2 linked regions of the Astyanax mexicanus genome follow. The protein of the gene in region 1 purifies or fractionates together with the protein of each later gene. This does not show direct contact. Links are inferred from orthologs where the notes say so. Each region holds a gene or a part of one and is shown on either strand. Other genes may lie near its edges.

The links.
Region 2: the proteins of inpp5e (region 1) and pde6d purify together in Homo sapiens (affinity purification with mass spectrometry; 3 studies listed by BioGRID and IntAct, with this or other methods). This does not show direct contact. The link is inferred for Astyanax mexicanus from reciprocal best matches to the Homo sapiens genes INPP5E and PDE6D.

The regions. Positions count from the first base shown.
Region 1 is NC_064429.1:22,873,992-22,890,680, reverse strand, and holds inpp5e (phosphatidylinositol polyphosphate 5-phosphatase type IV), read left to right. Parts: upstream 1-8,917; 5' UTR 8,918-9,012; intron 9,013-10,400; 5' UTR 10,401-10,463; coding exon 10,464-11,269; intron 11,270-12,506; coding exon 12,507-12,630; intron 12,631-12,771; coding exon 12,772-12,869; intron 12,870-12,947; coding exon 12,948-13,072; intron 13,073-13,187; coding exon 13,188-13,307; intron 13,308-13,768; coding exon 13,769-13,876; intron 13,877-13,970; coding exon 13,971-14,132; intron 14,133-14,242; coding exon 14,243-14,358; intron 14,359-14,455; coding exon 14,456-14,592; intron 14,593-14,802; coding exon 14,803-14,938; 3' UTR 14,939-16,361; downstream 16,362-16,689. Other genes in the region: mfsd10 (major facilitator superfamily domain-containing protein 10), read left to right, coding at 524-670, 1,982-2,078, 2,165-2,268, 2,444-2,602, 3,989-4,177, 5,151-5,259, 5,577-5,688, 5,869-5,977 and 4 more. UniProt on the Homo sapiens protein: Phosphatidylinositol (PtdIns) phosphatase that specifically hydrolyzes the 5-phosphate of phosphatidylinositol-3,4,5-trisphosphate (PtdIns(3,4,5)P3), phosphatidylinositol 4,5-bisphosphate (PtdIns(4,5)P2) and phosphatidylinositol 3,5-bisphosphate (PtdIns(3,5)P2).
Region 2 is NC_064412.1:25,058,371-25,075,055, reverse strand, and holds pde6d (retinal rod rhodopsin-sensitive cGMP 3',5'-cyclic phosphodiesterase subunit delta), read right to left. Parts: upstream 9,019-16,685; 5' UTR 8,797-9,018; coding exon 8,747-8,796; intron 4,718-8,746; coding exon 4,629-4,717; intron 3,989-4,628; coding exon 3,863-3,988; intron 3,611-3,862; coding exon 3,505-3,610; intron 3,407-3,504; coding exon 3,325-3,406; 3' UTR 2,874-3,324; downstream 1-2,873. Other genes in the region: phb2b (prohibitin-2b), read right to left, coding at 673-693. UniProt on the Homo sapiens protein: Promotes the release of prenylated target proteins from cellular membranes. Modulates the activity of prenylated or palmitoylated Ras family members by regulating their subcellular location.

The sequences.
Region 1 (16,689 bases):
TTGTTATGATTAAATGTAAAACCCATTATTATTATCAATGATATTCCTAAATATCTGTAGAACTAGAACCACCCTTGGACCTCTTCTAGCTGTCCCACACTTTTACAGTTATCGTGAAGACATAAAACGTCATAAAACACTTCCTGTTAGTTGGCTGTTTTGCAATGCAGTGAATACTTGTCAACTTCCTTAAAGCATCTGTTCTTTAAATCTGCAACTGCTCCACCACCAATATCTGTCCAAATGTTTGTTTACACCTGCTTATATTATAAATTTCATTGCTCCAGTAAAGGCCTCTACTCTTCTGAAGAGGCCGTACACTTGATGTTAGTAGTACGTTGCTGTTATCATATGAGGTATTGATGCTGAAGTATATATAGAAGTGGTGTTTAGGTTGAAGTGTTTTCATCTTGAATGCTTAAAATGATATTTTTTATCTCTTTGAGCACAGGAGATGCTCTGAGTATCATCCACAACTATTCAGGTTTGTGAGCAGACCAGTGAAGAGACTGGGAGAGGAGTCATGGCGGGGGCTAAGAGTTCTCCAGAGGACAGACACTCTTCTCGAGTCATTCGGGTGGTGTTTTTGGCCCTCTTGCTGGACCTGCTAGGTTTCACCTTAATACTCCCCCTCCTCCCCTCCATTTTGGACCACTACAGTCAAACAGGGGTGAGATATCACTTTATCCTCATCTTACTCTTTAATATTATGTACTCATGTAGTTCTCTGGTTTGTGTAATAACGTGTTATACAATATACACTTCTGTAATATTTATATAGCAATTTATTCATAGTAAATCAGTAAATAGCCACTTGTCTTTTGTTGTTCAGCATATTTTTGGTGTTAGAATAAGAAAAAATGACAACTTTGCAGAAGTTTAATGGAAGTCAGTGTAAAAAGATCAGGTCATTTTGGAGCATTAATATTGGTCCATTCACCATGACATAACACAATGTAAATAACAGCTGCCAGATTCACATTATGTCAAAAAGTGAATATACGCCAACAAGTTTTGTTTCAATATGTTTTATTATTTCATTTTATATTTTCCATTAAAAAAACATAGAAACAACAGTTCAAAACCCAACCTCCAACCAACAACCACACGTAAAAAAGAAAGAAGAAGGGGTAACCCCCCCCCCCCCCCCTAAAAAAACAAGCCCACATTAGTGTCTCTTGACATAGTCTAATATAGGTTTTCAGGTTTTGTTTAGGTCTTGTGCACCCTGGATTGTGTTGCCACAAAATTTCTATTGAAGCAAATGTGAGACAGCCAGCGTTTAAATGATGGTGCAGTAGGCAATTTCCAGACGAGAAGGATCAACATTTTGGCCACAACCATACCAGCCACGGCACTTGTTGTAGAAGATTTGGATATGTAGAGCATCCAGGCATGTAGAGTAACCACAAATTACAGTTACATGGTCAAAGTTCAACTACACTTTAAGTGCACTTGAGATTCAGTTGAATACATTACCCTACAAAACAGGGCAAAATAAAAGGAGGTGAGCCAGAGAACCCTATTCTATTTTACATCTCTCACAAAGTGAGGATACTGAACCAAAATTCTTATGCAGTTTTACCCTAGAATACTGCAGTCTATGTAATACTTTGAAGTGAATCTGTCTGCACCAGGAGCTAATAGAACAATGTGGAATTCTTTTGAGGCTTTCCTCCCATACCTTATCTGTTATGTGACTCTTACTCTCTCTGGCCCAAGCCTCTCTGTAACAAGTGGAGTTGGAAATGAACTTAGAGACACAGTCTAAACTGGGGATCCACACAAAAAAAACTAGATATTGAATAATCATTTTCTCTAAAATAATGCCAAAGTTGCAAATAGTAGAAAAAGTGTAGAGAGGAAAGATCAAATTTATCTTTAAATAAGTCAACAAGATTTTAGTCTGACAATGATTATGAGTGATAATAAACGTAAAATCCATAACAGATTTCAGTATTTTTATCTTATGTTAAAACAGGATAGTGTGTACCAGTCACTGCAGAGCATTGTGGACTGGTTCAGGGAGATTGTAGGAGTTCCAATGGAAACGAAGTACAACAGTGTTCTGTTTGGAGGTAAAAATTGATTTAGCTTCTGAATTTATCATTAGATTGATTGTGTCCAATAGGGATGATCATCTCCTCTTTGTTCTGCTTCTTAGGTCTGATAGGCTCACTCTACTCTCTGCTACAGTTCCTGTCATCTCCTGTGATAGGAGCTGTATCAGATTATCATGGGAGAAGACCACTGCTGCTTTTAACTACTGTGAGTATGGGGGATTTTTTAATGTATTAAATAAGTTGCTTCAACAGCTGCATATTAGCTTCTTTTATATGAATATTCTAAGATAATGAAAATAATGGAAATATGTTTTCTTAGGCTGGGGTGTTGAGACATTCATGGCCCTTATAATTCAAAATCAATCAATCTCTGTTTCCAGGTGGGGCTGATTTTCTCCTACATTCTCTGGGCGGTTTCCCACAGCTTCAGTATTTTCCTCTTGTCTCGTGTTGTGGGAGGACTATGTAAGGGTAATGTGAGCCTCTGCACTGCGGTTGTGGCTGACCTGCCTTGCTCTAAAGCAAGAAGCAAAGGAATGGTGAGTCATGTTTACTGTGTGATGTCTACAAGATGTACACAAGTAAATTACTGTACTGTAATTATTAGTGTCGTTATTATTGTTATAGAAAATTGTGCCACAGTTAGTTCTGTTGTCACAATTATATTTGCTTACAGGTTTTTTGAGTGCCAGTATCTCTCAATAACAGCACTCTGATTTGGTCTCTGTTAAAAGACCAATGAAGTCATGTGTACTTTTTTTTAGCCCTCACTATGAATTTTGAGGTGGTTTAAGGGTCAAGATATATACCATATTTTTCACACTATAAGGTGCACCAGATTATTAGGCGCTCTACCAATAAACGTCTATTTTCTGGACTATTTTTATACAAAAGACACACCAGATTATTTTATGCGACTCTAGTGAGGAACAGGGGTGTCGCCTTGTCTTCCTTCTAATTCAGCAGGTCTCACCGCTTGGTGGAGGTGAGCAGCTAATGCTAATACTGCTGGAGATTTAAACTGAAATTCCTGTATGACCTCAGCAGAGTGGTTTTACTACTCCTTACAATCTGACTGCTAAAATTCATACATAAAGCACACCAGATTCTAAGGCGCACTGACAATTTTTAGGAAAAATAAAAGGATTTTAAGTGCGCCTTATAGTGCAAAAAATGTGGTAGGATATAGTATCTAGATCAAGCTTTTATTAGCTTACGATTTGTGGAAACTTTCTGTTCATATCTTTCCACTTAATAGACTCATATCTGCCCTAAAGTGGATTTTGGAAATGATTTAATGACATAACAGGTGTTACGCCCTCGCTATGTTTTCCTGTGTTTTCCCCGTTTCCTAGTGTGTTTCTCTAATACTTTTCCTTCACGTGTGTGTAATTTGTAGCTCCGCCCCTTCCCCAGGTGTTCAGTGTTTCTTGTTCCTATTTATAGCACAGTTTAGTCCATGTTTAGCCGTCGGTCTTTGCACCTTCCCCCGTTGTCTGTCACGTCACGTTATTGCTTTCTCCACGTTTCATATTCACTCGCTCTTGTTTATTGTCATTCACGTTATTTCTAGTCACGTTTATTTCCTGTTTGTTTCTTTGTTTATTTTGTATATATTTACGTATTTATCCTTTATTAATATATATCCCTAGCCCTGTTTGTTATTATCTGTTTTACGTTTCTCCCTGTTGTTTGTTTATGTACATAGATATATTCGTTATTCCCCTGTTTGTTTATTTGTTTATTTGTTATTTATTAAAGTATTGGTCTTACCCGCATATAAATCCGCCTCCCGTCTCATCCCCGTGTTACAACAGGTGTATTTTTGTGTAATTACACTTGAGTCACATGAATCAAAATTTTGATTTCAGGATGTTTGTGTGATCAGTTTGGTAACTGTTTTATTCTTGTATTTTTCTTAACAGGCAATGATAGGAGTTGCCTTCTCTTTAGGATTCACTCTTGGCCCAATAATGGGAGCATACTTTGTGCTGAAACTGGCCAATACTGAGCTTTTCTATCAGGGCCCTGCTGTACTCGCGGTTGTCTTCTCCACAGCAGACCTGCTCTTCATCTTCCTCATGCTGCCAGAGACTTTGCACAAGGACAGCAGAGTAAGAAATTAGACACATGAAAGGAATAATAGCATATTATTTCTAAGTACAATTCATCAGGTATTTACTGGTTATTAACAGATAGTTGTAGATTTTTCAGATGTTGAGATGGAACTATAAGGGATTAATTATTTTTTTTTGTTACACTGCTTGGCCAAAAATGTCGCCACCTGTATTTAACTAAGCAAATGATGTGGGGTTGCTGTAGTTGGTCAGGTCTAGGTTCAGCAACGGTATGTGCTGAAGGATTGAGGTCAGCTGACTACCTGAATATACTGAATATAGACCAGGTTATTCCATCAATGGATTTTTTCTTCCATGATGGTACGAGCATATTCCAAGATGACAATGTCAGGATTCATGGGGCTGGAATTGTGAAAGAGTGATTCAGGGAGCTTGAGATCATTTTTTACACATGGATTGATAGTTTACCACAGAGTCCAGACCTTAACCCCATTGAGAATCTTTGGGATGTGCTGGAGAAGGCTTTGTGCAGCGGTCAGACTCTACCATCATCAAATATCTTGGTGAAAATTTAATGCAACACTGGATTGAAATAAATTCTGTGACATTGCAGAAGCTTATTGAAACAATGCCACAGTGAATGTGTGCTGTAATCAAAGCTAAAGGCGGTCCAATGAAATATTAGAGTGTGAGACCTTTTTTTTTTGTGGCGATTTTTTGTGTATTTGTATTGTAGAAAGAAAAAAAGGTTTTATTAGGTTGTTCTAGGAACAGTTTAGTTTTGCTGAATGAACAGTCATCATATTGTCATATTTATAACATTCAAAACGTGAACTATAATTGATTTAGTACCTAACTATGTAATTAAATATGCAATTATGTAACTACAATAAAATAGTAAAGCAAGGTTAAACCAATAATTATGGACTATGGACTATAGAGATTTAGGGATTACACACTGGTCATATAAGATTTCATGTAATAAAAGATGCTGTTTTCTTTATCGAAGGGTTCCTCAGATGCCTCTGGTGTTCAGGAGGTCGGGGACCTGCTCAGTCCAGTGGCTCTTTTCAACTTCTCTGCCATCACAAGAACAAAGGAACCACCATCAAAACAAAGTAGGCTTGTATTAATTATTGCCATTTTTATGTATAATACACTATATTCTTTCTTTTACAGGAGATGGCTATAAATCTGCATTTAAATCTGTAGTTGTAAATCAGTTGTCCAACTCGGCTCCTGGAAAGCTGCTGATCCAATAATTGCTTGAATGGCTGATTTGGGTGTGTTAAATATGGGATGGAGCTCTCCAGGAAAAGGGTTGAAGACTATTGGTTCTACTTTACGTGATATATGCTGCATGCCCACAAACATACACATTTTGTTACTTAAGAATTACAAATATTTTGCTTTTGTCTCATTATTGTGACACTAGGCATGAACAATCTAAAAGTTCTGGGCTGGGTGTACTTCGCATACCTCTTTCTTTTCTCTGGGTTGGAGTTTACTCTGAGCTTTTTGACCCATCAGCGCTTTCAGTTCTCCAGGTAATACACACTCATACATTATGCACAACTGTGATTGTGGTGACAACAGTAACTGTTACTGTTATTGTGTGACATATCACTTTAGGGGTAGATTTATTGAATCATTTTGTATTAATTGCCACTTCCTCATTATTCTTGTTGTCTAATGATTATTCTTTTTATTCTTTATATTTTTTACAGCATGCAACAGGGGAAGATGTTCTTTTTCATTGGCATAACAATGGCACTGTTCCAGGGTGGATACGCTCGCAGGATCCAGCCCAGTCGCCAGATCAAGACAGTTCGCGTGGTACTTTATATATATTTACATATAATAGTATTTTTTTAGGCATTGACAGTCACCCCATAGAAGATTATAAAGCATAGTTCAACACATATCAGCAGTGCTGCTTTCCTCTAGTAGTTATTGCACTAAAATCCTAAATTACAGTAGCTAATATAATAAAGGAATTAAGTTCTGATTGTATTGTTAATCATTTGCACTTTCATTTATACAATTATTAAATCATCTTTTTTTGTTTTGTTTGTTTTTTGTTTTTTTTTAGGCAATAATATTACTAATTCCTGCGTTCCTGCTCATTGGCCTTGCACACAATTTGACAATGCTCTATGGCGGCCTGTTTTTGTACTCCTTTGGTAAGCAGAGAATACAGTGATTTAAATCTGGACAATTTCTGATAGCAGTCCTTTAACTCTTTTTTTTAGTTAAAAAAGAAATCCTTTGAATTACAATGGATTTGCGCTTTCCTCTCTCATACAGCGGCTGCCATCGTCGTGCCATGTCTATCAGCACAAGTCTCTGGACACGGTGAGCCTTTGTTCTCTAAGCTATATGGAAGTTTTAGACTGATATTTGTACAGAAACATTTACAGATGTTATGCAGCAGAAAATGAGATCATAATGTAAGTAGATATGTACTGAAAGATCACACAAGAACACAGTGAGGACAGTGATTAATATCTTGGTAACAAAATACAGTGTAAAATTAAAATTGAATGCCTAAAGGCCTGCCTTTGCAGACCCCCTCCTTGAGTCTTACCACACTGTTTCCACAGTATTCCTTTCTGTGCAAAATAAGGCTAGCCAATTACACTAACACTAAATAGTGTTACTTACACTGGGTAGGTCACTAAAGTTGGAGATATTCCAGTTTACTGACGAGTGAACAGACGTTATTTAGTAGAATGGACAGGCTAGAGTTAGCTTTTAGCCTAGCACTGACCTAAGCTTTTGTTTCCTGGCACATTAAGCAAACTTACGGAAGTTGTAACAGTTTGTTAGAGGTATATTATTGATTATTATGATGCTCATTGTCTATTTGTGAACATTTGGTCTTTTTGGCCACACAAAAGCAGTGCTCTTCTTCTACAAGACAAGAAATATAGCACTTTATAGATTATGGATTATTATATGTTACAAAAAAAACAACAACTAAGTAATAAAATCTTTAAAAAATTATGTCACTGATGTTTCCATTGCATTAGGCACTGCCAGTCAGAAGGGCACAGTGATGGGGATCCTCCGAAGCCTGGGAGCCCTGGCCCGAGCACTGGGGCCAATTCTGGCCTCCTCAGGTGACTAATCACTTTTCAGCAAGTAAAGGAACAGGAAACACCCTTTACTCTTTTACTGTTATCTTTATTATATTAGCAGGTACACTTGAGGAAGTGACTGACCTATATACAGACATTGCTGAAAGTATGATTGATGTTTTACCTTTAAAGTTAAATTCTTCCTGTTCTAGATAACAGGTCATTTAAAAGATACAACTAGTTTGACTAACTAAGGTGCATATGTTACCTGCGTAACTTTTTCTTTGTCACTGGTGCTGCTGTTTTGTGTTCATAAGACATCTTTGTCATATTTTCTTGTAGTGTACTGGTTGGCCGGAGCTGAGATTTGTTTCCTCATCAGTTCGGCCTGCTTTGTCGCTCCTTTGCTCTTACTGGGAAGACTAGAGAGACAAAAAGAAGAATAAGAACAATCACGCTGCCTTTGTTTACATTCCTAGAAACACCTTTTATTTTATTCCATTCACTTTTTATTATGGCGTATGCAGTTTTTTATTGAAGGTTTTTATATAAATGTTTATTCTTTATAAGGTACTCTTAACAAAACAGTACAACTTGATGTCTTAAGATTGTAATTCAGTATGACACTTGTATTTTGTACTCTGAAGTGCATAAAGGTCAACAAAGCCAACATGAACAATTTATCATGCTGTCATCTCAGGCAAAGCATTGGTAAATCTACTGATTAAACAGTAATTAAATCAACAGGTTGTACCACAGTATGTTTTAACACAAATATGAATGATCATATTAGAACACTGGGAGATTTTGTATATTGTATTTTGTAAATGTCAATAAAATATTTTTTAAAAAAGGAATAAAGATTGTTCTGTGTGTTTATAGTTATTTTTCTGTTTGATTATTTAGCCAAAATTTAAAATACTGAAATGATGTGAATTGTATAACATTGATTAAATGGTCCTAGTGGCAAGTGTAAGCATTTGAGAATCTCCGAAACATCTTATCTTGTGGGGTGCTTCCAGTATGCAGTGGTCAATACCTCTTAACAGTGCTCCAAGAAATGACATTGGAATACAGAGAGAATCGTGGAATTAGGATGTAAAACAAATTACAGATTTAAAAACAAAAATGTGGGGGAAAAAGAAAATAGAAAATAATAAAAAAGGTAAATTTGGAAGAAATTTTATTTTGTAGGACTGTAGAAAAACAGGTTGTTTTATTGTTCCAACACTGAAACAATATACAGTACTAGTTAAACGTTTGAACACACATCTAATTTATTCTGTTGTCTTTCTATTTATGTTTTTCTTATTTAATATTGAAGACATTATAGCTATACAGAAACATATGTGGAATTATTTAGTTATTTATTTAACCAAAAGTGTGACCAAACTATATAATACTATGTAACTCTACTTTTCATCATCTGTTATAAGAATTTTATTATTGTTTATGTTATTGTTTTATTTTTTACCCAGTTGTATCTACCTGTATTATCCCTGTATTCTTTATTTTTTTATAATATTATTTGTATTATACATTTTATATGCTTCTTTTCTCCCAGAGAAGTAATATGAAATTGAAGAAAACTTTTTTAAGGACATATTCTACTTAAATATATTTAAAAATGATCATTTAGGTATAGTTATTTAGATTTTTCCTTTATTAATGAATACAATCAATAATTTCAGTAGGATTCAGTAGGATTCAGGGGGGCGCTGTGTGCGAAAGCTGCTGCTCGCTGGTTGCTAAGGAAGTGGGAAAAGTTTGGTATGATGCGGGGAGCTGGAGGTACTGAACGACTGATTTTATTAAATTACTACATTTAATAACAAACAAATTAGATATAACCTACATATATTAAAGCGGAACTGCGCTGCTGCACTCTGAGACACGGCCGCCGTTGGCTGAGGACAGCGCGGTTAGCCTGTTATTAGCCCGTTAGCTGCGGCGCGTTTACAGCAGTGTTAATAGCGGTCACCGTTAGCAGCTGGACCTGCTAGCCACAGAGCGCTAATGTTAACTGAGATTCACCAATAACAACATGTTGCTGCTTTTTTCTTCGCCTTTAGTTTAATAAGGCCCGTTATTTATGGTGTAAAAACACACCATATATCTGACTGTGTTTATGATATGACTTTAATAAATACAAAATTTACCACCAGACTACACTAGTTAAAGCTAGCTGGCTAACGTAACCTAGCTAGCGGTAACTTACTAGCCGGTGTTTTGTCGATTTATGCTACCCATCGAAATGTGCTTCTTAACACCTTTTATATGTTTTCATGTGTTTTTAATGATAATTCCGCTTTCCTTGGGTGCATTAAGATGTCTTCTTGAATGTTACAAACCTGTAAATGGCAATAAAAAGTGGAATGAAAAATATTAGTAATAAACTATAAAAAGACGGTTTCTAATCACCTTACGTGATACATTCATTTATTCTGAATTTCCTACCAAGACTTCTTCTGCCTGGAGCATTTTCTAATATGGTGCTTTTTTGTGTTTTTACCTATCTAAATACCTAAATATACACTACGGTAGCACGGTTTGACAGGGTAGCACAACTCGACAGAAAAGGTGAAAAGCATAACCTAGCTACCAAGCTAAGTTTCCCCTGGGTCTGACCAGTTTCCATTTGCTTCTGAGCTCATTAATGGCAGTGTTACTTAAAATGTCACACATAACCAGTGATTATACGTATTTATGAACTGTTTATTATACCATTTATGAAGTGGAGATATCATTATTCTTAAACAGGATGTCTTGTGAACTTGATAGCTCATTTGGCACAAATTTGATCCAGGCATGATATGATTTCCACATGTTTTTATTCTTAATTCAGGTCTAGTTTTGACATAACACTTTATTTCACCTTAATATTAGACAAACACTGTAGTACACTGTATTTAGCTGCATGATTAATAATATGAGTTCAGTGTAATGAAAGGAAAAAAAAATAGATTATTGAATATCACTGAACATCACTATTATAGCTCAATATAAACTGTATACCGCTCAGCTCTAAGTATAAATAATACATGGTTAAGTAATACAGTTTAGCAAGTATAGTATAATTTATGAAAGTGTAAAATATAGAAAAGTAAGCATTAAGCAGTTTAATTATTCAGTACATAACTGATAATTTAAGGCATTCTTTTTTGTCACCAACATTTCAGGATATGAACACATGAGGACCACCATGGTGCTTGTTTGCATCTGAAGACCAATGTGATAGTAGGATGAATGAGAATGGAGATACCATCGTCCCATTCCAACCTGAAGATGAAGTCAGATCAAAGGAGCCACCCAGCAGCAAGACCAGCTTTAACATAGAAGGTGGTGATGGAACCAACACAGAACCCAGAGCTACCAAGAAGTGCAATGAAGATTTACACATCTCTCAGGATGAGCAGATCCAGGAGACAAGCCTTAACCCTTTCCAGCCTCATCCACCCTCCCTGCCCAAGCCTTCCGGTGTTGGCAAAGGGATCAGAAACTTCTCTTTTGAGGAAAAGACAAGGAGGAGAAGACTGCGGAGTAGTCAGGAGAGTCTCACCGATCCAGCAGAGACAGGCTCCTCCACGGACTCCCTTAGAGAAGACTCGACACCTGTGCTAAGCAGTGCTTTAGGTTTAAAAAATGGAGAGATCTCTGGGGGAATCGACTTTGATCGAGCAACAAGGGAGTCCCCACCGTTTCGGGATCGATGTAGCAGCCTCCCAGAGGCAGACAAACATCCTTCCAGGCAGAGTCGTCTGGTCGAGCTGCGGGCAAAACCCTCCAAAATCATCCTGTCGCCCCTGCAGCCTACGGGATCTTTTCCTCCACTGGACTACAGTGTTGCCTCCATGTCCTTAAGGACCACTAATCGGATTGACAGGGATTGTTTGGATTACGGGAAAAGGGGCCTGCCGGAGAGGCTGCACAGGAACTTCAGCGACAGCCGGCTTTTGGACACCATGGTGGCAGACAGTGCCTCGGTCAACTCCATGAAGTCCAACTTCAGTGCACTGAACCCAATCCGGCCTAAGGATGTGAGAAACAGGTAGAACCTGTTCATTCATTTGGCTTTTAGTTTTTTTGGTATATGTTTGTGCGTTTGTTTTAGATAATCTGCACTATTGCAGCTTTTGTGAGGCTTAGCCATTGTCATGTAGCTTTACGCCTTTCACTTCCGGGTTTGTCATTCAGTGCTCCACTAGCTTAGATCATAGTCATGGGGGTATTTGAATGATCCATGTTTAGTCATGCACCTGCCACCTGATGCTGTGATTAACCGGTCTTCCCTGGGGCTTGTACATGCCCTCGCTGCTGTTCATTGTTGGGCATATAGTGACCGGTGCTGTTTCTATTTGTGTTGTTAACATTTACTTTTTTTCTATGGATATATTAAGGTATTATGCAGGTGATTCATCTGCATCTAGAAGTCTGTTAGAATTGTTATACCCTTGTCCTTTTAGTATGTTAATTGCATACTTAAGTAACCTATCTCAGAAGAAACTAGCAGACATTTATTAGATATACACAGTATGTGTATATCTACAGCATGTCGCATGTTGCATTAACACAGCATTAACAAATGCTGAATGATCTGATCTTCAGTAATAAATTTGTGTATATAAGGTAGTGTGAAATGAGGAATGCTTAGTAGTGTAATTGTAAGGGGATTAAAACTGGATCAGTGTAGGAGGTGCTAACTACATGCTGTTTTACTGACTGGATTTTTCATTCATCAAAGAATATGAGTTTTTGCATTAAGAGCTAATTTGTCAGTCCACGGCTTTGCGTTATTTGTTTGGATATATTATAACTGCAGTGGAGAGCAGACCAGAGTATAATTGAGCAAGGTTTGAGCAAGGTCTTTTTTTTTTTTTTTTTTACAAGTAACCTACACATCTTTACATTGAACGTACTTTTGGCATGACAAATCCACTTTTTTTTTTTTTTTTCGAAATTGTGTTTTCTAAAAAAAACTTGTAAATAGTGTATCACATTTTAAAATGTAAAAACATTCAATTATCAAAAGTAGGGTTGTAACAAATGATTATTTGAAAAGTAAAAATTAAATAGATTGGCTCTTTGCAAGTAACAGAAAAGACACTTTAAAATCATTAATTGGGCTGGCAGTCTGAAACTTTAAGTCAAGGCAAAAGATACTTACTCAATATTATGCAGTCGGGGCAAAATTGTAATATTGTGTGTATGAATTAACCTGTTTAAATCTTCAGTACACATGGCATAAGGATATCAACCATATACCTGACTGATGATGTTGGTTTCAGGAGCTTTCTGGAAGGCAGTGTGCTGGGCAATGGAGCCTTGCTTGGGCCTGAAGAGCTGGACCGGTACTTTCCTGACCGACACGTGGGGATCTACATAGCCACCTGGAATATGCAGGGAGAAAAAGTGGGTGATCCAGAGTGATATTGTGATACACAGCTTTTAAAATAATAATACTTATTATAATTACTATATTCTAGTTATAATAACTATAATCTTGGCTCCATATATGTTTCCATATTAATGACTATTGCATGTGATCTACAGGGGTTTCCAAACAACCTCGATGACCTGTTACTTCCCACAGACACTGAATTTGCTCAAGACTTCTATATCATTGGGGTTCAGGAAGGATGCCCTGATAGGTATACCATCTGTTGACTGTTGCTTACATCTTGGCCACTGTTTCTCTTTATGCTTTACTCATCATTTTGTGTCAACAGGAGGGAGTGGGAGATCCGACTGCAGGAAACACTTGGTCCATACTACGTCATGCTCTATGCAGCAGCACACGGAGTGCTGTATCTTACCATCTTTATACGAAGGGATCTCATATGGTTCTGTTCTGGTGAGTATCTCACTAGTATCAGTATTAACCTTTTAATTGAGAGTAATTTTATATTTATATTGTTGACTGTGTATGCACTGCCTGAATTTGCTTTTGGTGATGATTCGTCTTGCAGAGGTGGAACATGCTACAGTCACCACTCGCATCATCTCGCAGATCAAGACTAAAGGGGCAGTGGGAATTGGCTTCACTTTTTTTGGGACATCCTTCCTCTTTATAACATCTCATTTTACTTGTAAGTACGGCAAGTGAAGACAGCATAAATGCATACCAGTATACTTCTAGTGATTGTCAAAAAGTCATATTTCCAGCACAAATTTCCAGGGATAGTTGTAAAAGCTGCTAAAAGATAAAAAAAAGTCTGTGAAACTGGTAGTTGAATTAAATGTTCAATTATATTTTGTTGTTTAAGCCAAATAAGCGTTTTAACTAACATCCAACATGACAGAGTATGTTAGGTCTTTTATGAGCTTTACATCTGCTGAATTTACCTGAAAAGCTACTAGAGAATTCTAAAATGCATCAATATTAGTTTGCTGCTCATATAACAGACAATTCCTTTTTCTTTTTTTGCTGCAGCATTATCTAGCTTCCACACGACATGCCAAAAGACATGTGACATATTAGTTCCTATCTTATGACTTTTGGCAGGTCCACTTTAGTACCATAATAACATGGGCGATGTTTCTGTTTCAGCTGGAGATTCCAAAGTGTACGAGAGAATATTGGACTACAACAAGATAGTAGAAGCTCTGGCTCTTCCCAGAGGTCTTCCTGACACCAACCCTTATCGTTCCATTGCCTGTGAGTCTCCTTGCAAATCACATTTAAATTGCTGCATCACCTACCGTTGATCTGTGTCTGTTACTTAACATCTCTTTGTATCTTCTATTTTCAGCGGATGTGACCACCCGATTCGATGAAGTCTTCTGGTTTGGGGACTTTAACTTCCGCCTGAGTAAAGACCGGGGAGGCGTGGAGGCTATTTTAAACCAGCACATTGGGAAAGATATGGGCCCTCTGCTTCAGCACGATCAGCTGTGTAAAGAAATTAAAGAAGGTAACTCTATTGACACTTGATAGTTGTAGGGCTGGCTCTGTTTTAAATCTACACTACAAAGATTTAATCCAGCCTGTAGAATTAATCCAACCTGTAACTTCTGTTCATAGGCTCCATCTTTAAAGGCTTTCAGGAAGCCCCTATCCACTTCCCTCCCACCTACAAGTTCGACATTGGCTGTGATGTTTATGACAGCACTTCCAAGCAGAGAACACCCTCATATACAGTGAGGAATACTGTCATTTTTTTATTTTTTAGTGTTTGAATAATTATTGTTGTTATTTCAATATGGCTAAGAATCGTTTTGTTCTATTGTGGTGTAGGATCGAATCCTGTACAGGAACAGACAAGCAGATGATATTAAAGTGGTTAAGTACACTTCCTGTTCATCGATCAAAACCTCGGATCACCGGCCTGTTATTGGCATGTTTCAGGTCAAAATTCGGCCTGGCAGAGACAAGTAAGTACTTCTCTTTGAGATACAGTAAACATATTTGAGGATTGCTAAATTGACATAAATGGGTTAGCTGTGTTTTTCTTCCTGGATTAATTGTGAGCATAATGTCCTACTGTGTCATTACTATTTTGTGCCATCCCTGATCAAAAAGTAGCATACCTTCTATTAGTTTAGCAGATTAAGCATTTCTAATGCAACATACCTGCATTCCAGCATTCCACTGGGAGCCGGACAGTTTGACCGACCCGTGTACCTGGAGGGCATCAGGAGGAGGATTACCAGAGAACTGAAGAGGAGGGAGGCCGTGATGAAGAACCAGAGCAACAGCACCGTCTGCTCCATCTCCTGATGCTGGACGAAGCTGGACGAAACTGAGACTGCATACTTCCCAAGCTGAGCTACAGACTCAGGAAGCTGGACTTTCAGGACCAAAGGGAAACTCAGAACTACGGGAGATGAAGTGTTTGGGCCACCATTCAGGTCTTTAGACCTGTTTGCCACATCCTTATGAGAGCTTGAAGAAGAGAGAAAAAAGGCAGTGCCTGGACCCTCAAGCCTAACAGCTGTGTGTAACAACCATTGTTACACTTTACTTAACATCTATGCCTGTCTGATTTGATTTTATTTTGTACACATATTTATGGTTGGATGAAAAGATTGACCTATGACTCACAACATTTTCTAAACAGTATTTAATGGCCTTGTACAGTTAACATCTTAGAGTTCTGGTATTTAAATTGGACAGATTATTTACCACAAGCAAGTAGATACCAGTTTTTTTTTTTTTTTTACGGTTGTTTTGTTTCACGGATCTCATTGACTCTGTTTACACCTGGTCACTCCATGTGAGTAGTACCTGGATTACTTCCTGATAAGATTTTAGCTACATGCTTTTAGTCTTGGTGGACAAATGCGATTCCAGTTTGACAAAATTCTGCCTGCAGTATAAGATGCAGCAACCAGTAATTGATTTCTGCTATGAAGTTTGCAATTTTGCATTCTGTAATACTCCGAGGTTATCTTCTTCACAGTCATGGATCACATGTCCACTTGCTGAACAGGGAGGAGATTGATATATATCTTAAAGAGACAGATGCGTTTACACTACAGTTTACAGATTTGATTGGTGACCTTTGTTCAATACAGATGAAGTGTGTGAAGATACCAGGTGTAAAGAGGGTCATTTATGTAATAAAAAAGGGAGGATTGTTAAATAATGGTTATACTGGTCACATTTTATCAAGGGAATGTAATCACTTTACCGAACACCAGTTCGATCGCCAGTTGTTTTATTTATAAATTGTCTCTTAATGTAAGTTATGTTTTAATTGGTGCAATTTGGATTTGGAAAGGTGCAACCCAGGTTGAAATCATGCTCTCTGACAGACTGAACAAGGAGGCTCAGACTGGACTTCAGTCCATTGCCTTAATTTGTCATACAAATAATTCAGCTTCTTGCTTACTTGATTGATGTCATTGTGGGCTGGCTGTGCATGAATGTGCGGGTAGAGCTGATTTTGACTGACCAAGTGACTGAGTAACCCAGTAACTAACTGTACTACAGCTCTTGCATGGACCTCAAATAACAAACGTAATGGTGAGTCATGTGCATTCACATCACGGTCCTCACTGTTGATGGAAAGTGCCTGAGATCTTGCTCATTTTGCCTCTGGGCCTTTTCTAGTACATTCTGATGTTTTGAACCAAATAATAGCATGTTCTAAATGTTTACAATGTTATTAAAATAATATAAAGCAGCTATTTCTGACTCACTTATTGCTATTATGTGGTGCTTGTGTGATGTACTTCTATTTGTTTTTTTTCCCTCAGAAAGCAAAACAAAACCAATAACACATGAAATCTTAAATGTATGTAAACATCATTTATGAACAAAAACATACACAGAAAGTCACTATACATTAAGAAGGACCTCAGAGAAGATGACAGATACTGTAAAACATTGCTAGCTAAACTCATTTCCAGTATGTGAGGGTATAATATTCCTGCTGAATACATAAGTAATCCAAGATGTACACACTGATGTGACAACAAGAATGACAAAAACAATGAATAGATGTGCAGTGCTCTAAAAATATGGTC
Region 2 (16,685 bases), on another chromosome or scaffold:
TAGGCAGGTTAGTTACCGTTTTCTAACCAGCCAGATGTTTCACACTGGAAGCGTCGAGTCTACAGCGCCACCTTTCGAAAACACGCAAACCAAGTTCATACAAAATGTATAGAAATGTCCCTGTGCCTTCTATAACCTACCTACCTAACCTAGCCATATTGCTATATACAAATTCTACACTGTCACGAATATAAAAAACACAGCTAAAAAAACTGAACCAGACAGCAGCATTATGGTTAAACCTGTAAACTCTACCCTAAAAATCCCCTGTCATTTAGTAACTGATAACACGCGCTAGGTGAAGTTCAGCAGAGGCTTGTAGGTTAGCTGAAGCTGGGAGTCACGCAGCAGAAATCTGTGACAGTGACCTGTGAACGCCACAATCATCTCAGAAATTGTTCTAATGAACTTATTAACTGTACACTTCCCGTTAAATAACACCGCCGCTAACGCTATCTATCTATCAGTGGATAAGTTACTATAACGTCAGTTAGGTTAGCTAAGCTAGCCGGAGCCGAGTCAGGAGGACCGGGGCACATGTTTTATGAGCTTCAGTAATAAAAACGCAAAGCGCTGTTATTAAATGCTGTTAAATAAACACAGCGGCCTTCATGCGGAGCTCTTTCACACCACGACCTTCTTCAGTAAACACAATATTCAGAATTTACTCACGCTGGGCTCTTTATTCGCCATGCTCGCTCACAGACAGCCAAGGTCGCCGCGGACCAACTTCCGCTCGGACGCAGAGCTTGCTGGGATTTGTAGTCTTTTCCCTGACTTTCAATACACACTTACCTAAATAAGAGGCAGACGTTTTGTCAATGTTCTGCCTGATATTACAGAAGGTGCATTAAGTATTTACATTAACTATTCAGGTATAGATACTAGGGTTTAAAAATAACGTTACTTATTTTTACTTAAGAAAAAAGTACTGGTTTTAAAACTACTGAGTATAAAAGTAAAAGTAATGTAAGAGAACCCTTTTAGACCCTGCGTCAATTACAATAGACATTATCATTTTTTTTTTAAATGTTTTGTTGCACAGAACACTAATTGAGACTTGTTCATCAGAAAAGATAAAAAAACAAGCCAATGAAACAGTAACTGAACCGCGCTAACTGTACTGAAAAAAATAATCAGCAACATTAGGCAAGTCAGCACTACAGAACAAATGAAGCAAAGTAATTCCTAAATTAGAACACTTTTATCATGATTAGGCATACAAATTATATTTATAGATTTTATATTAGGATAGTAGTGTCTTATTACAGACAGATAACAGCACTTTTTTTATTCTTTTTTTCTAATTCAGGTCTGAAAGGGTTAACAGGGTATACAGATAGTTGTGTAAAAATGTAAAGAGTACATGTAAAAAGTCTAAAAACGATTTACGTCAGTATAGATTACCAAATTTTCTATTTAAGTGAGATAAAGCAGGATTTGTAGTTTGTTACTTGACACCTCTGAATATTTCTATTCAAGCATTACATATAAAGGTTTCATGTTTGATTAGAAGCATTTCTGTGTTGATTCCTGTTGCTGGGATCTGTGGAGTAGCGAGTGGACAGGCAGCTTCTCGAAGTGTCCTGTAGGAGTCTCCAAATCCCTTAAAGTTTTTAGAATGTGCAGTAACTAAGAATGTGAAGTAAATAAGAAGTAACTTATTTTACTGCAGACAAAATGTATTTTGTATCATCTACACATGTGGCCTGTATAAGGCCAAAGCCAAATAAGAGGTTAAATTATGGTTGTATTGTATTACACGCTTAAATGTTGATAATAGAAAAAAAAAACCTTTAAACAACCTTTATTTATCATTGCTGAATGCTGATTATACATATTTTTGCTATCTGGTTTGGGATTTGCTTTATTTTTAAAGGCATACAAGCAAAATACTTTGATATTGGTTTTGTTTCTTTATAAAGCATTAGCTCAATAAATATGAGATGTTAGCACTTTCCTGGATGTGAACTTGAACACTGCTTTCAAACACTCCCAAAATAGGACTAGAACAGTTTAGTTAACACGTGCCTAAAATAAATTTTAAACGGTCATGGAATATAGGCCTGTTACATGGCAGAACTACATCACTGTAAACAAGAACTTTTTTTTAAAGTGGTTATACACTTTCTGACAAAATAAAAACAAAAAAATGTACCCAAAATTTTGACATGCGGTTACATCTCGGGCAGATAAGGATATTTTTACAGGTGTGGTCTGTTCAGACACTGGGTCTTGTCACAAGAATGCTGCTGTGTAAAATGGCTCTCAGAGCCTACTTTTGGGTAGTGTATCCTGCCATTGCTGGGGAGCAACACACTGATACAAATGCTAGATCTGGAGAGCCATAACACACGACAGTAAGTCACTCCTAGTAGTGATATGAGGGACAGTCTATGACAGCTCTGTGATATGCATAGGACATCCTGTGGTCAGGTTTCCTCTCATGGCAGGCCTTTCATCTGGCTTTGTTAGCAAGATAAAGCTCATGCACCCACAATGTGGACCAGAAATGTCAGACTGCAACAATTTCTTTGGCAAGGTCCTGGATTTATCACCAGTGAGCATTTATGGGTCCAGTTTGGTTGCCCGTTTCAAAAACCTACGAGTGTGAGGAATCCACAGACCTAGCTGCAACATGTTTGGGCAAATCTGCCATATGATGCCATGTGTACGCTGTATGCCTTTATGCCCAACTATATCTCATCTTATATCTAGGCTAGAGGCAGCCCAATAGTGTCCCAGAAGCTCCTTTAAAATTGGAAAGTTTCCATTAAAAAAAAACGAATATAACTATCTCTCATATATGTACGTATATAAAAATGTATTTGAGTTCTAAAACACAGACCAGCATAAAAGAAAAAAGGTACCACTCAAGGATATCAATATTTTAATATTTTAAACTGTCTATCTTACAGTGTTGCTAGAAAAAAAAAACAAAAGCAATCAAACAAAAAAAAACACAATTTCAGCAACCACAAAAACCCAGAGCAAATGTTTAAAAACAGAAGACAAGGTAGCAGTGTACAACGCATGATACAATTTGATAAAAGAGTGGGAGGAGAGAAAAAAATGTACAAATGTAATAATTTACATAGTCAGGTTGTGATGGGCATCAATGCGTTTATATACAAGTCCTTATCTGCCATCATATTGGAATGACCGTTTGACCTGAAATTTGTTTTGCTCAAGTTGTTCCCTTTAGTGCCGCTGTCACGGTGCCACAGAAATGCTCATTATGCAGAGTGTCCTCTGGCCATAAAAAAAATGTGCAGGCATGTGTGCATCCTACTGAATGACAGATAAAAAAAAAAAAAAAGAACCTCAGACGTAGAAAAGTCGTACCCGGGAGGTGCTGACATGAAGCTCATCATCATAGAACTTGGTCTCTATAACAACATTACCACTATAAAAGACAAAAAAGAGAACAATTAGGGAATGGGCAGTAGAAAGAATAGAGATACTTATTTAACATGACTAGACGTGCATTTAAAAACATCTTACGTTAACACATTAGCAGGCATCATCTGTGACTCTGGTGCTGCCTCTATCAAAGACTGCCATGTGTTGGTGGAATTAGGTATCACAAAGCCAAATTCAAAGAACCACTCTGTGGGGAGAGGGGATACAATAAATGGTTACACCCAAAAAGTACACAGAACAACTTATAAACTTAAAACAAAAAAATTCTAAGACATTATAAACATATAGGTATATGTGTAAAATATGTTATTAAATACTTTTTTATTAACTGTAAAAACTGCAGTATAAATTGTGTACTGAATAATGTATAATGTATAATGTATAATTTGGAGTACGGAAAGATAAGAATGTATGCATGATAAGAAATAGTGGTCCCAACCTTCTAGACACTGGCCTTTGAAGAGCACTTTTTGTTCCAGGCGGAATTTTTCCAGTTTTTCTGATGAGGAGAAATTCAGTTCTCTAGAGACAGCTTTACATTTCAGAATCTTCTTGGGAACTCGAGCTGAAAAGGACAAACGTGTTACACTTTTTGCACAGATTCACAAGTGTATTCATGTTCTTACATAACCCATCTACATGTAAAGTGTGTTAAATGTCCTCAGCCCACTGAGAACAAAGTTTAATTTTTAACACTACTTACAAATATCATTTTTCCTTTTTGCATGAAAACACAGCAGTTATACTACCGCTATAATGGTTTGGTTATACCACTGTTGTAACAATGTTAAGTCTTTATAATAGTGGATTTCATCGCTATCCAATGAAAAACAAATCTCTCCATTTTTGTCAATTTTTACTTTACTATATAATTTAAACACACAAACTATTCACAAACTGTTACAGTGTATCAATATTTATTGATGACTGCACCAACAGAATGTCTCCAAAGTTAAAAAAGAAAGAAACTCTTTTACCTTTGAAAGTTTTAGAAGAAGAAGTTTTTACTTTTCACTTGTAAAGTTGCTGTTTTGGAGACTTGTTTTTCATTGGACAGCAAATATATGCATAACATAGATCCACAAAGACCATTCAGTCTGCAGCTAAAGCCTCTAAAAGCTTAAGTAAAACCTTAGGTGAACTGCTGTCCTTAGAAAATAGAGCCAACAGCTTTGAACACAGTTGACACAGTGGAGCATTCATACCTTCATGTTCTACACCAGGAACCGAGAGATCTTCAGTACCCTGCCAGAGAACCTTCCCCGTCTCTGCATCCCTCAGGTTCATCCAGTTTCTGCAGATTAAGGTTAAGGCTACTAAAATCTGAGAGAAAAGCCTTCCATATTTAAAAAAATGTTCAGCAAATAAAATAAACACTGTTTAAAAAGTCCAAAAATACAAGATACAATGTATCAAGATACAACACAGCATTATATCAGATTAGCTATTTTAGAGCTTTTCTTACTTAGTTGTTACATCACATTAACTGTAAAATGTGCTTAAAACTCCACAAACAGTCTCAAGCATCACAGCAAATGTCAGCCTCACGCTTCTTTAGTAAAACCCTTACGGAAGTAAAACACATAAAAACAATGATAATCTTCTTTGCTTCAAGTCACAGACATCTGACCTCTTGATCTTCAGACCACCTGTGTCTTGTCTAGTCCTGTCCTTGAGGTACACAAACACAGTGGTCTGTCAGTGCCAGGCCACAACACAAACCCCCACCATAGTAACCACTCACCAAGGGACCCACATTACCACATACTACACTCAACACTACAAATGATGTTGCTAGCAAGAGTTCTTTAAGAGATGCCAAAGGAAAATATTTTGGTTCCATAAAGAACCAAAAATGATGAGGAAGAAAAAGCTTTTTAATAGGTCAAGGACCTAATTTTTTATAGGGGTGGAGGATATGCTAAAAAAAATGCATAACAATGCTTTTCTATGATACACAATATTTAGCTCAAGAGACACAATAGCACTCAAAATGCACCATTAGTGACGGATCCTTAAAAAACTCAACTATTCAAATACCACCCTAAACTGAGTACAGTGATTTTTATTTAAAATGTCATATTATACATTCAATTAAAATAATGAAATGTGCAGTTTTGTCAGCGTTTTTCAACAATACAGTCCCCTATATTCTTTAAAAAGGTTATTGTCAATTTGATGAGAAATAATACAATACAATAAAATAGTGTCCTATTGTCCATATCTAGTTCTTTATGCAACCAAAAACAGTTCCTCTATGGCACTGCTCAAATAACCTTTGGTAGCACCTCTTTTGTTATGGTTCATACTATGTGTACACCACATGATGCAAACTCACCCACACTGCCTTACAAAAAAAATCTATAAAGTTGACTCACAGTAAGTTGCTTTTTTAAGTAGGATTTAGAGCATCCCTCAATCACTATCAAGAGTACTTTTATTCAATATTATACTATAACCATTAATTCAGACTTTATAAAACTAAAACAAATTATAAAAAACATAAGTGAGAGCACAATTAAGACACAGCACTATATTGATTATCAGGAAGTTTCAATTAAAAACATATGCTCTAACTGGGTCCGTTGATGATGGATTGGGCCATAGCACTAGAGATTAGTGGTGACAGGTGTCTTCAGGATCACACCAGCTGTGTATACCAGTGATGCACAGTGAGAGTCGCAGGGGAGAAACCCTTTAACTCACAAACAATGACACAGTCATGCTAATTAGTCCCAAGGCTACACTGCTTTTACGGAAGTCACATGCATTTTTAAAATGTTACCCACTGTTTCAAATCTGCCATTTGCAATTCGGTGTTGGCCTTGCAAAAAAATAAGGTACCAGCTTAAAAAAACGTTCTAAATGTCAGTAGACTGTCTCTGATCATTCAGTGGCAGTTTCCAGTGAGATGTTCTAACCTAAATCAAACCAAAAAAGAAAAGTTTGAATAGGGAGTTTGAATGGTATCCATCTGCATCTGAATACTAATTCCCACATATTAGTTTTTAACATATCTATGTTTTCACACACTTAAGATACATTAAGGAAAAGTCTCTACACAGTGAGCACTGGTCTTGGCTCTGGGGGTGTGTGCACTTATATCCTCATGAGCATGTGTGCTTTGGTGCTTCTCCAAAGGGAGGCTACTTTATGCACTGCATTCACCCCTGAGGCTCACAGCCAGAGAATCACAGATACAAAACAGTACAATATTCCAAACAAACAGGCCCACTTAGATATTAGATATTGGGATAATTGTTTACAATTTACAGCACATTTAAAGCCACAAGGGGATTCAGTGTTACGTTTAGGCAGTGTAGCTACAGCAGAGTTGATTATTATACATTAACATTCATTTTACAGTGTTGGCAATTTACAATAATTAAGAAACAGATGTATTACCATTTAGAGTAATCATGTAGGTATTTAAATACAGCAAAAAAATAACAAAAAGACTCCTGACACTAGTATGAATTCTTGCTGGCTTTGACTGGTTTGATATCTAAAGCTCATTAAGCTTCCATTACTAAGTTATAACCTACACAAATATGACATTAATTAGCCTTCTATAAATATGTCTATAGGTAAGGCAAATATTTGAAAGATTTAAAGCCATTACTGTAATGAGACTTTGAGAACCACCCGGCACAGGCAGGGATGCGAGTAGCATAAGGCAAATCCCTGCCCTTGCAAATAAAGGATTTAAGAATTACCAGCCTGTAAGATACACCCTTACCTTCCCAAAGAAGGTCACACTCATAATCAACTGCAAATTACAACATCAGCAAATGACTCTAAAAAAACACAATGCCACATCAGGATACCTCTACAGGCCCTTTCAACAGGTTAAATGAATCCAACCTACCCTTCGTGACGGCTACAGTATGGCGGTAGGCTGTGCAGGTGTGATTATTCTTGTCGGACTTACTGAGCCAATTTTAGGAGCAGCAGGCAACGTTATGTAAACCAAGTAGCCAGCAGAGACACTCTTACAGTGGGGTCATTTCACTAGTTAATGCACTTTGATCCCACAAACATCTAGCAACCTCCTAAAATCTTCCTAAATATGACCTGCTACACAGTCTGGAGCCTGTCAGACATGTCTGCATTTAAATAAACTAGTGAAAAATCAGATTTGAGCAACATTTTAGATTACACTGTGAAGGAAGTGTAGTGTAATAAAGATGCAGACCAAGTAGCCCTAGCTCAAAAAACAAAAGCAATTTAAATACGTGATTTATAGCTGACATTCTGCACGCCTACAGACATATATGGAAATATCCCGCAAAACAGAACAAATTATCAGTTTACTAAAAGCTAAAGATTGACTGTAACACCTCACTACCAGGTTACCACACGTAACACCCCCTGTAACATCAATCAGTAACGTTAGGAAACTGGGCAATTTGTAAACCACAAAAAAAAGACGTCTAGTGTACTTTTATATATATTGCACTTATCAGTTGGTAACGAAAGTTATACATTAGCTAGCTAACCTAACTAGCTGTTAGCTAATTTATACAAACAGTACTACTACTCACCGGTACTACTAGTCTGATAAACTAGTTAGCTAACCTAGTTTAGCCAGCCTAACAAACTAATGTACTCTTATCTGCAAAATAGACCTGGTGCCAGTAAAGCTAGCTAGCCTTACATAGAATATAAGTTAGTGTGCTAGCATGCTGCTGCAAAGACATAAACTTTCGTTTTAAATACAATTACAATAATAATACAAAAAGTAATAAAATATATAATAATAAGCCATAATAAAGAATATAAAGTTTGTTAAAATTATGAGTTAGCTAACTAGCTATAACACACTTTCTTTAACAGATAGCTAGGTTAACTAAGTTAGCTAATGGTTATAGAATTAAAAAAATATTATGTACAGCTATCACCAATATTTAAAATAAATTAGTAGCTGCACACTACAAAATTAAAAAGGCTTAAATTGGCTGTGATAATAGGTTAAGTATTAACACTGGTTATTCGCTGCCGATTAAGAATAAAAATATAAAAACAAATTTTGGCTAGCTATACAGTTAGTTATAGTTAGTTAACTAAGATTGCTAACGCTAGCTAATTATTAGCCAGCTACCTTGCAAACGTTAGTTACTCGGCTCTCTAATCCTGCTAACGGAAAAGCATCGCTATAACCAGCTAGCTTAGGTTCTATGGCTAAAAAACGTTAGATAAGAAAACACGCTTCATTTCTTAAACGAAATGAAACGTTTAGCTAAACAGTGTTAATCTGGTCACTGAATGTTATTCTGGAAGCTGAAGGCTAATCTGGCGCTGTTGCCTCAAGTTTAAAGGATACAGTTTAAAGCCCTTCAGGATCTCCTTCGCCCTGTCTTCATCCGAAGACATCGTTCCGAAAATCGTCCGATTCACTGAATGGAAAAATAAAAAAAATAAAACAGAACAGAAAGCAGCAGTCCACTAGCTAAAATATTCGACTCGCTGTAGCGGGTTAACCTGGTTATTAGGTGAACTGGCTAGCGGAATACCACACTTTACAACACACAGCGCTGCTTTTAATCTGAACAGATTCGCCTCGGCTGCTGCTCCTCCAGCCTACTGTAAATAGATTTTCGGCGGAGATTGATTGACAGCAGAATCGCCCTACTACCGTGCGCGTCTCAGACGAAACTACACAAACGGACCAATCAGGATGAAGAATGCGGCACTTGGGGCGGGGCTTGATTGGTTGACAAGGGACGCGTCACCGATGGCAACTAGAAAGGTCCTTTGGATGCGAGCTACGGCGTCTCGAGTGGATCAAGCGGAGCTGTGTTATCAGTTACACAGTTCGCCTGGGTCTGGAAGTGATGGCTGAAGCAGAATACGACCAAACGTTAAATTTGCGTTAACTTTCCATCGCTAATGCACTGAAACAACGTTAATCTCGATTTTACGACTAAAGATCTCGACTAAATGTTATGGTTTTATATATATGGTTTGTATTAAATTTTAATTACATTACATATGTGTATCTTGTTTGTATTCTGTTCCTATAATCAGTACTGTGGTCTTGCACAATAAAAAGACACATTTAAATAATAATTATTTTAGTATTAATATTATTATTTGTGTAAAGCACACTTCACCTAAAAGTAAATGTAGATACAGAGCTCCAACCATTCAAAACCTTTAAATGAAAGTTGAATCAGTGTCAGAATTTCCGCATTAACTGATGGACATAGGGAAATGTCAAATAAAGGTTGTTTTTTTCCATCATCAACCTTAAAAAAATTAAATGTATAAAAATAACCTTTATTTAATGTTGTATAATATCAGGGTATGCACAAACATAAGACATTTGTGGTCAATGTTAATAAAGTAAACCCTTCTAAAAAAAAAAAAAGCTTAAAAAATACATACCCTGGTTATGCTAGTCAAGGAGATAGTCTACCAGCATAGTCTATGTTTTTTCTCTTGATGACCAGCTGGTTTTAAGCTGGATTTTGTTTATGTTAACAGTCAAAATTTTTGGGATCTTTTGGGGATTTTCTTAAAAGGACCCACTTAAACTTATACAACCTTCTACCTTCATCCCTTCCTTTGTTGGAATGTTGAGCGGTGGAACCATGCTGGAGCTCCCCATCCAATATCTTTAGGATGAGATGGAGTGGAGTTTGTGATCCAGAACTAATCATCACGGTCACCTGACCTAACTGAAATTAAACATGCAAAGACTCAAATATTTATGTAAACACAAAAGTGTGTGCTTATAAATGTGACACTGAACAATCTGTCTGTCACAGTTATTGACTCAGACAATATTTGCTGATGGATCAATGATCTGTCATGACAATGGTAAAAAGGTCACTCCACAAATACAACACAATTTTGTTTAAAAATAGGAACTTCTGAAAATCTACAGCTGTACTGATGTGGGCTGAGTTCTTGTATACATTTATGTCAAATACTGCAGACCTGTAATAATAGATTATGTCCATGGAGTGGTGCTGCATTACAAGAGAAAAAAAATACTATTTAGACATAAATACTTTTTTTTATTTAGTCAATTTGGGCCTGCAGACTACAGGCTACCTCAGGGTCACTGCATTTTTCGTACACGTATTCATTACATATACATTCAAGTACACACATTTGTTTAATATGTATTTGTCCCACCCTGCAGCTGGGCTGATTAGGCCTGGAGTTTGCACAGGTTGGTGATATCCGGCTTAAAACACACCTAATTCAACAAATCCATTGATTAACACATTCTCAAGTTTTCATGATGAACTAAGCTTGCATTTTTGTTCTTGACAGTGTTCAGAGAACATAAAACACAGCAGATTTGCCAGGGATAAATCAACACTGTTGTGTTAAATTAACATTTATCTAGTCAAATTCTAATGCTTACAGTGTTGATTTAACACGGGCAGACAAGCTCCTTTGCATAAAAACTGTGTGTAAACTGAGAACTATAAAGGAACCTGAAAGGTAAAAATGCATGAATAAATAAATGTCTAAAGCAGTGCTGAAGAACACTCTTCACTTTCTTTCATCTGTAGGTTTATGCTGAGTAAATAAATGAGTCCTAAATAGTTTTATTAAATTACTCTAAATTACTCTTATTAAAGGGATTCTGAAAGCTTTTTTTTTTTCATTTCCGTGACATTTAAACTTTATTAAAAGGTTTACAGTTGTCCTTAAAATGACAATTAAATGTATTGATGCTCTAAAGAACTACATGGTTTATTCTATGGTACTTGTCCAAATAACACTTTATACACCTTAACTGTTAAAAAAATAAGTTTTCCTGAGTAAAGAGGAGACAAAATATTCTAATAAATGGAATCAAACATATTTATTCTAAAACAGCTTCTGGTAGGTCTTTCCAGAATTTATTCTTACCATGACAGCTTTTGCTGATTACTTGTGTAACAACGGTGCTGCTAATGACATTGATTCGAGATCTACTGCCAACATGAAGATATCAGAACAGCAAACTTAGTCTTTATCTGCTTATTCACACATCATTAAAATTTAAAATTAAAGAATGCTGGTGAGCTAAAAGAGAACGAGACCTTGATATAATAAAGCCCTTGATACTTTTGAGCATGCTGGGTGCAAAAACACATTCTCAGCAAAAAAAAACATTTTATTAAAACAAATTATTTCTTTTTTGTTTTACAAAATGTATCTCAGTTAAAATAAAAAAAGGCTGTCCTTGTACATCTACATGCGATTCTAAGTTCTGTAGAAAATACCGTTTGGCACCGTGTCTATCAGTGTGTGGTCAGAGCAGCTGTTACAAGAGAGAGACCATTACAAAAAACCTCAAAAAGCAGCCAAACAAGCTTGATGATTTTTTATGATCTCAGGACAGAATCAGTGAAAAGGCAATTTGTCTTAAGAAACAGAAGAAATGAGATTCATTAAAAGCCCTATCAATGATTTTTTCTAAGTGGAAAAAATGCATTTTATTAGATCATATTAGATTAGATTAATGGAAAAAGTGCTGCTTTATTGGCATAAACTGGATAACGTAGACAGTTTTGTTTGAGATTTAAGAACCAGGAACCAGATTTAGGGAGTTCAAGTGAAGAAGAAATACAAAAACAAGTGATCCTATAAGATCATATCACTAGAGACTCCATACCTCCAGTTCTGTGTAATCCTAATATAAAGTACCAGATATTGGGTTAGGCATTGCTAGATTTAGTTTAAAAGAATATTAAGCATAAAAAGTGTAAATAGCATTTTTAGTTAGAGTCAGTTATGTCAGACAGATCTGGGTACATTTCTACAATCTTAAATCAGAAAATTTCTAGTAAAAATACAGTATTTCTGACGGTATAAACTCAAAATATTAAATTCTTTGAATGATAATTGGTGAATGAAGGCTATGGTCATTGGAGCCGCAATCAATACCTTTAGAACAACTGTGTAGTGTCTTTTTTTCATTTATAGTACTTGTATCATGCAATATAGGGTGAGAAATGTAAGTTAATACAGGGGAACTCTTGATTCATCTCTGGTTCATCTCTGTTACATGTAGCAGTAGACTGATTTACCCCTGTGCAAGAATACACTGCAATTCTAACAGATTTATTCCATTATTCCAACTGCTGAAAGTATTCTTAATTATATTGTGTTTTTCGGGGAAGGCATTGCATCTGATTGTAGTCCTTAATATACAGGTTTGTATAGTCATGTCTGGTCTTAATTCTTTAAATGGCTTTGTTTAAAAGTGTTATGATCACTCTAACTTCTGATATCACCCTTAATCAAACAGTCAGTGCAGGAGAATAAATCAGGTGCTAGATAAATTGTTGATGTAAATTGTTGTCATGAACAATAATTGGGCATAATATTTACTTTGGACTGAAGTAGACTATTGGTCCAATTAAGATTGTTCAAAGTGTTAGTTAACATAATAAGCTTAATATTCCTATACAAGTTCAAGTGTCTAATAAATGTCTAAACAAAGTTGAGCCTCTCTCTTCAATTTATTTTTCCCAGTGCCACTGGGTGAGGCTATGCTCTTTCAGGAGGAACGGGGTATAATATATGGTCAACTGGAAGGGCTTTGGTCTAAAGAAACAGAGCTGGAAAGGATCCAGGTTTCCTGCAAAGAATGTCCTACATCCAGGGTTGTGTAAGCATTAGAAACGCACTCCCTGACCTAGAGGTCACATCAGGCATTGTCTGCCTTATCCTTTCACTGGTTACAGTTGTGTCCAAGCCAGAGATCATCCCTGATAACTTCACTATCTTCAGTCCAGTGCAACAACAGCTCTGGTTGGTCAAGTTAAGATGCTTTTGGAAAAGTGGGTGGTGGTCCACAAGGTTGTCTTCATTCCTTGGCCACACTGGGGGTACCATTACACCTTCTGGTTCTTAACATCTTGTCACTGTTGTATGCTCCCCATTAGTCGTTCTTGGACAGCTCTCCCACTCTTTATCACCTGAGTTCTAATCTGTGTTATTTATGTACATTTGTTTTTGGTTCTTGGATTGCTCTTTCAATATTAAAGATTATGTTAAATTTCCTCACAACAGCAAGAGAGGAGGGTTAAAGAGACACTAAACCCTAAATCATATTTTTTCATTAAAAGCTAAAATGTGTTTCTTTGAAGTAATGCAACATACCTGTCCTGCTTAAATGCCTTTATTGTGGTAATTTCTGCCTCTGCAGCACCCTCTCAGATTCAACTGTGATAGGTGTAGATGATGTGTCTGAGTATTTTGGTATGCAGACACATACAATATGCAGATCAGTCAATCAATAATACCGCCCCCCCTGCTGACGTCCAACCATTTGCGCCTCATCAGAGGCACACTGCTGCTGCTGCAGCTCAGCCAATCAGCTTTCCCCATGCCCTGCCTCTAAACACATACATCACTCAGTGCCCCTCCCAAACTACACCTCCCATTTTTCTTTAGCTTTTTTCAAATGGAGGGAGTCTTTTTTTAAATCTTTCAGCAGCAGTGAAAGATACCAGTGAGAGGGGCAATCCTGTTTCTCATTTGTACCCCAGTCACTGCTAGACCTTAGTTCAGGGGTGTCAAACTCATTTTGGCCGAGGGCCACATTGGCATATTGGCTGTCCTCCGAGGGCCAGATGTAACTTATAAATATAAGAAAATGTAACCAAATGTAATGTAATGTAATGTAAATGTAAATGAATGTAATTACTCCTTAATGTTAAATAACTCTCAATATATTATTTATTCAATCAAATATTACAGTTGCATGGAAAAAATGTTTGCTTGTTGCTCTATTAACATAAATCCTGTTATGAAATCCAAAAACTCCATCAATCAAGAACCAAACTATACAAGTGAATAGAAATGACATAAAATACAAGTTATATTAACTTTGATCAAAACGTTTGATACTGAAAAGAGGCTTAATAAATATAAAATCAAAAATTGTGAGCTGTGACAGATTTAGCATTTCCTCATCCAACCACTAGTGGGAGCTGCAGCAGCACAAGCCCACAGTCTTTACTGAGTCAGAGCTACAGCCCAGCCACGGGCTACAGGACTCAGCTGAGCCAGTCTGGAGCGTTTTTAAAATTTTAAGTTCTTCTGTGTATGAAATAAAATAACCCCACTAACCGGATAATACAGCTCTCTACAGTTCATATTTCAGCCCAAGCAGCTAACAGCAGCAGTTTAGAGCAGCCATCCCGGAGTCACTGCTCGGATTACATTATAAACAGGTCAGTTAGCGCGCTGCTAACCTCAGGATGTTTATAACTACGGAGTTTAGTGGACACACCACGGCTGCAAGGTTAGACTGTTGAAGAAATCAGTAAAGGCTGGTTAGATAAGTGATTCACCTCCTCGTCCTTTGCTGAGGTGAAACTGCGACTAGCGATGTCACAGTGATGTTTATTAACCTCATTAAAACAGATTTGATCAGCTATTGTCTTATAAATATTTACACATAATTTATATCTCTTCTAAAAAGCGTTTATTTTCGTCAGTAACACAAAATGCATACCGGTCTTTCGCCTTGAAGCACAGCCGTCCGTCTGCATCAACTTTTCTTTTTCTGGATATTATGGGATAAACATGTCTCAATTCCACCCGCGAAGTTACACCTTCCCTCCGGCAGGGTTTCCACATCAATGACTACACTGCCGTGTAGTGGCAGTAAGCCGTAACTTTGCGGGTAATACAATCGACAAGCATTGTGGGAAATGTATTTTTTGGTCAAAGAACGCTTCTGACCTATTTATTATAGACACTAAAATTTTACAAGCTCTCGCGGGCCACATAAAAAGACGTGGCGGGCCACATTTGGCCCACGGGCCTTGTGTTTGACACATGTGCCTTAGTTAAATGTATCTTTCCCAAAGGAAGGAGTAATGCAGTAATTATTTAGCATCTTCCACCCATAATTTGTCGATTACAGGGAGCCTTAGGTAAAATAATGTTACTGTAGCACCATTTAATGTCAAAATGCAATGGATATTGCAATTTGAAACAAACAAATCAATACGTCTGTGGGTTTCATTGGTCACTTGTTAGGGCTGCACAATATATCGATATTGCATCACTATCGCGATATGTCACATCGCAGGACGTGCAAGGCAATTAAATCAAACACGTCAGTGTTTTGATTCTTGACACAAGAAGTAGATACACAGCGTTGTCTCTGTATCTGTCTAAGTGACAGGCTGCTGCCTGAGAAGTGCGAGGGGGAGGGGCAGCACAGTTTTGCACAGATATTTCCAGTTACAGCTGAATTCACACTTTTAATTCCAGAAAAAGGCTCCTATACACCTTTTAAAAATCAATTTAAATGTCTGATTAAAGGGCTAATTACTGTTGTTTTTCTCTTGTTTTAAGTACTCGGCGCTGACTCACTCTTGATCGGTCCCGACTTAAGACTGCACTTGTGTGGAGGTGAAGCTGGTAAAGTCATGGCCCCTGATTGTTTAATATTGCAACATATAGCTTTGAAAAAAGAACATTTGCAATGTAAATTTTTTCGAATATCGTGCAGCCCTATCACTTGTGCATTGCAGGTTTTTCTTATAACCATCTGCTTTGACAAATCTCTGTTTGGAGAAACACTTAAAAAGAATAAGGGACACCCTACCCCAAGGCATGAATGCACATATATGGAGGGGTAGGGCTTAATAGTAGGGGCAGGAGGTGAAATGGGATTAGGCCAAAGACTGAGAGTTTCAAAACTGTCTCAGATACTATTCATAACTATAGAAGTTACTGACTGCATTGTCTCCCTGACACACACACACTTACAGGCATATATGAGCTCACTGTTCAAACATGTAGCTTTTCTTGCCACACACACACACACACACACACACACACACACACACACACACGCTTTCTTCACCCTTTAATTTGGCTGAGGGCCAAGTGCAAGTGGGTGAGAGCACGAAAATGGGGAGAGAGTTTATTGGAGACTGTTGCTCACATACCATTACACACACACACACATACACACACACACACACTCTATCACTAACTCCTGCACTCAGAACAGGCAAACACATGAAGCTCCAGGCACTGGGTGAACAAGCTTCCATGGAAACCAAGCTCCACCCCTTTAGGGTGGGGAATGGCTTTTTAGGCTGTGAGGGGAAAACACTGCTCTACTTTTCCAAGTGAGGGGGGGCAGTGGGAGAGAGAGAGGGACAGAGGGAGGAAGATTGAGGGGAGAGAGAGAGCGAGAGAGAGGGGTGGGGCCACTGAATCTGGAAACTGAAACTTTTTCCTGAAAAACAGCGAAGAACAAGATCAGACACACACACACACAC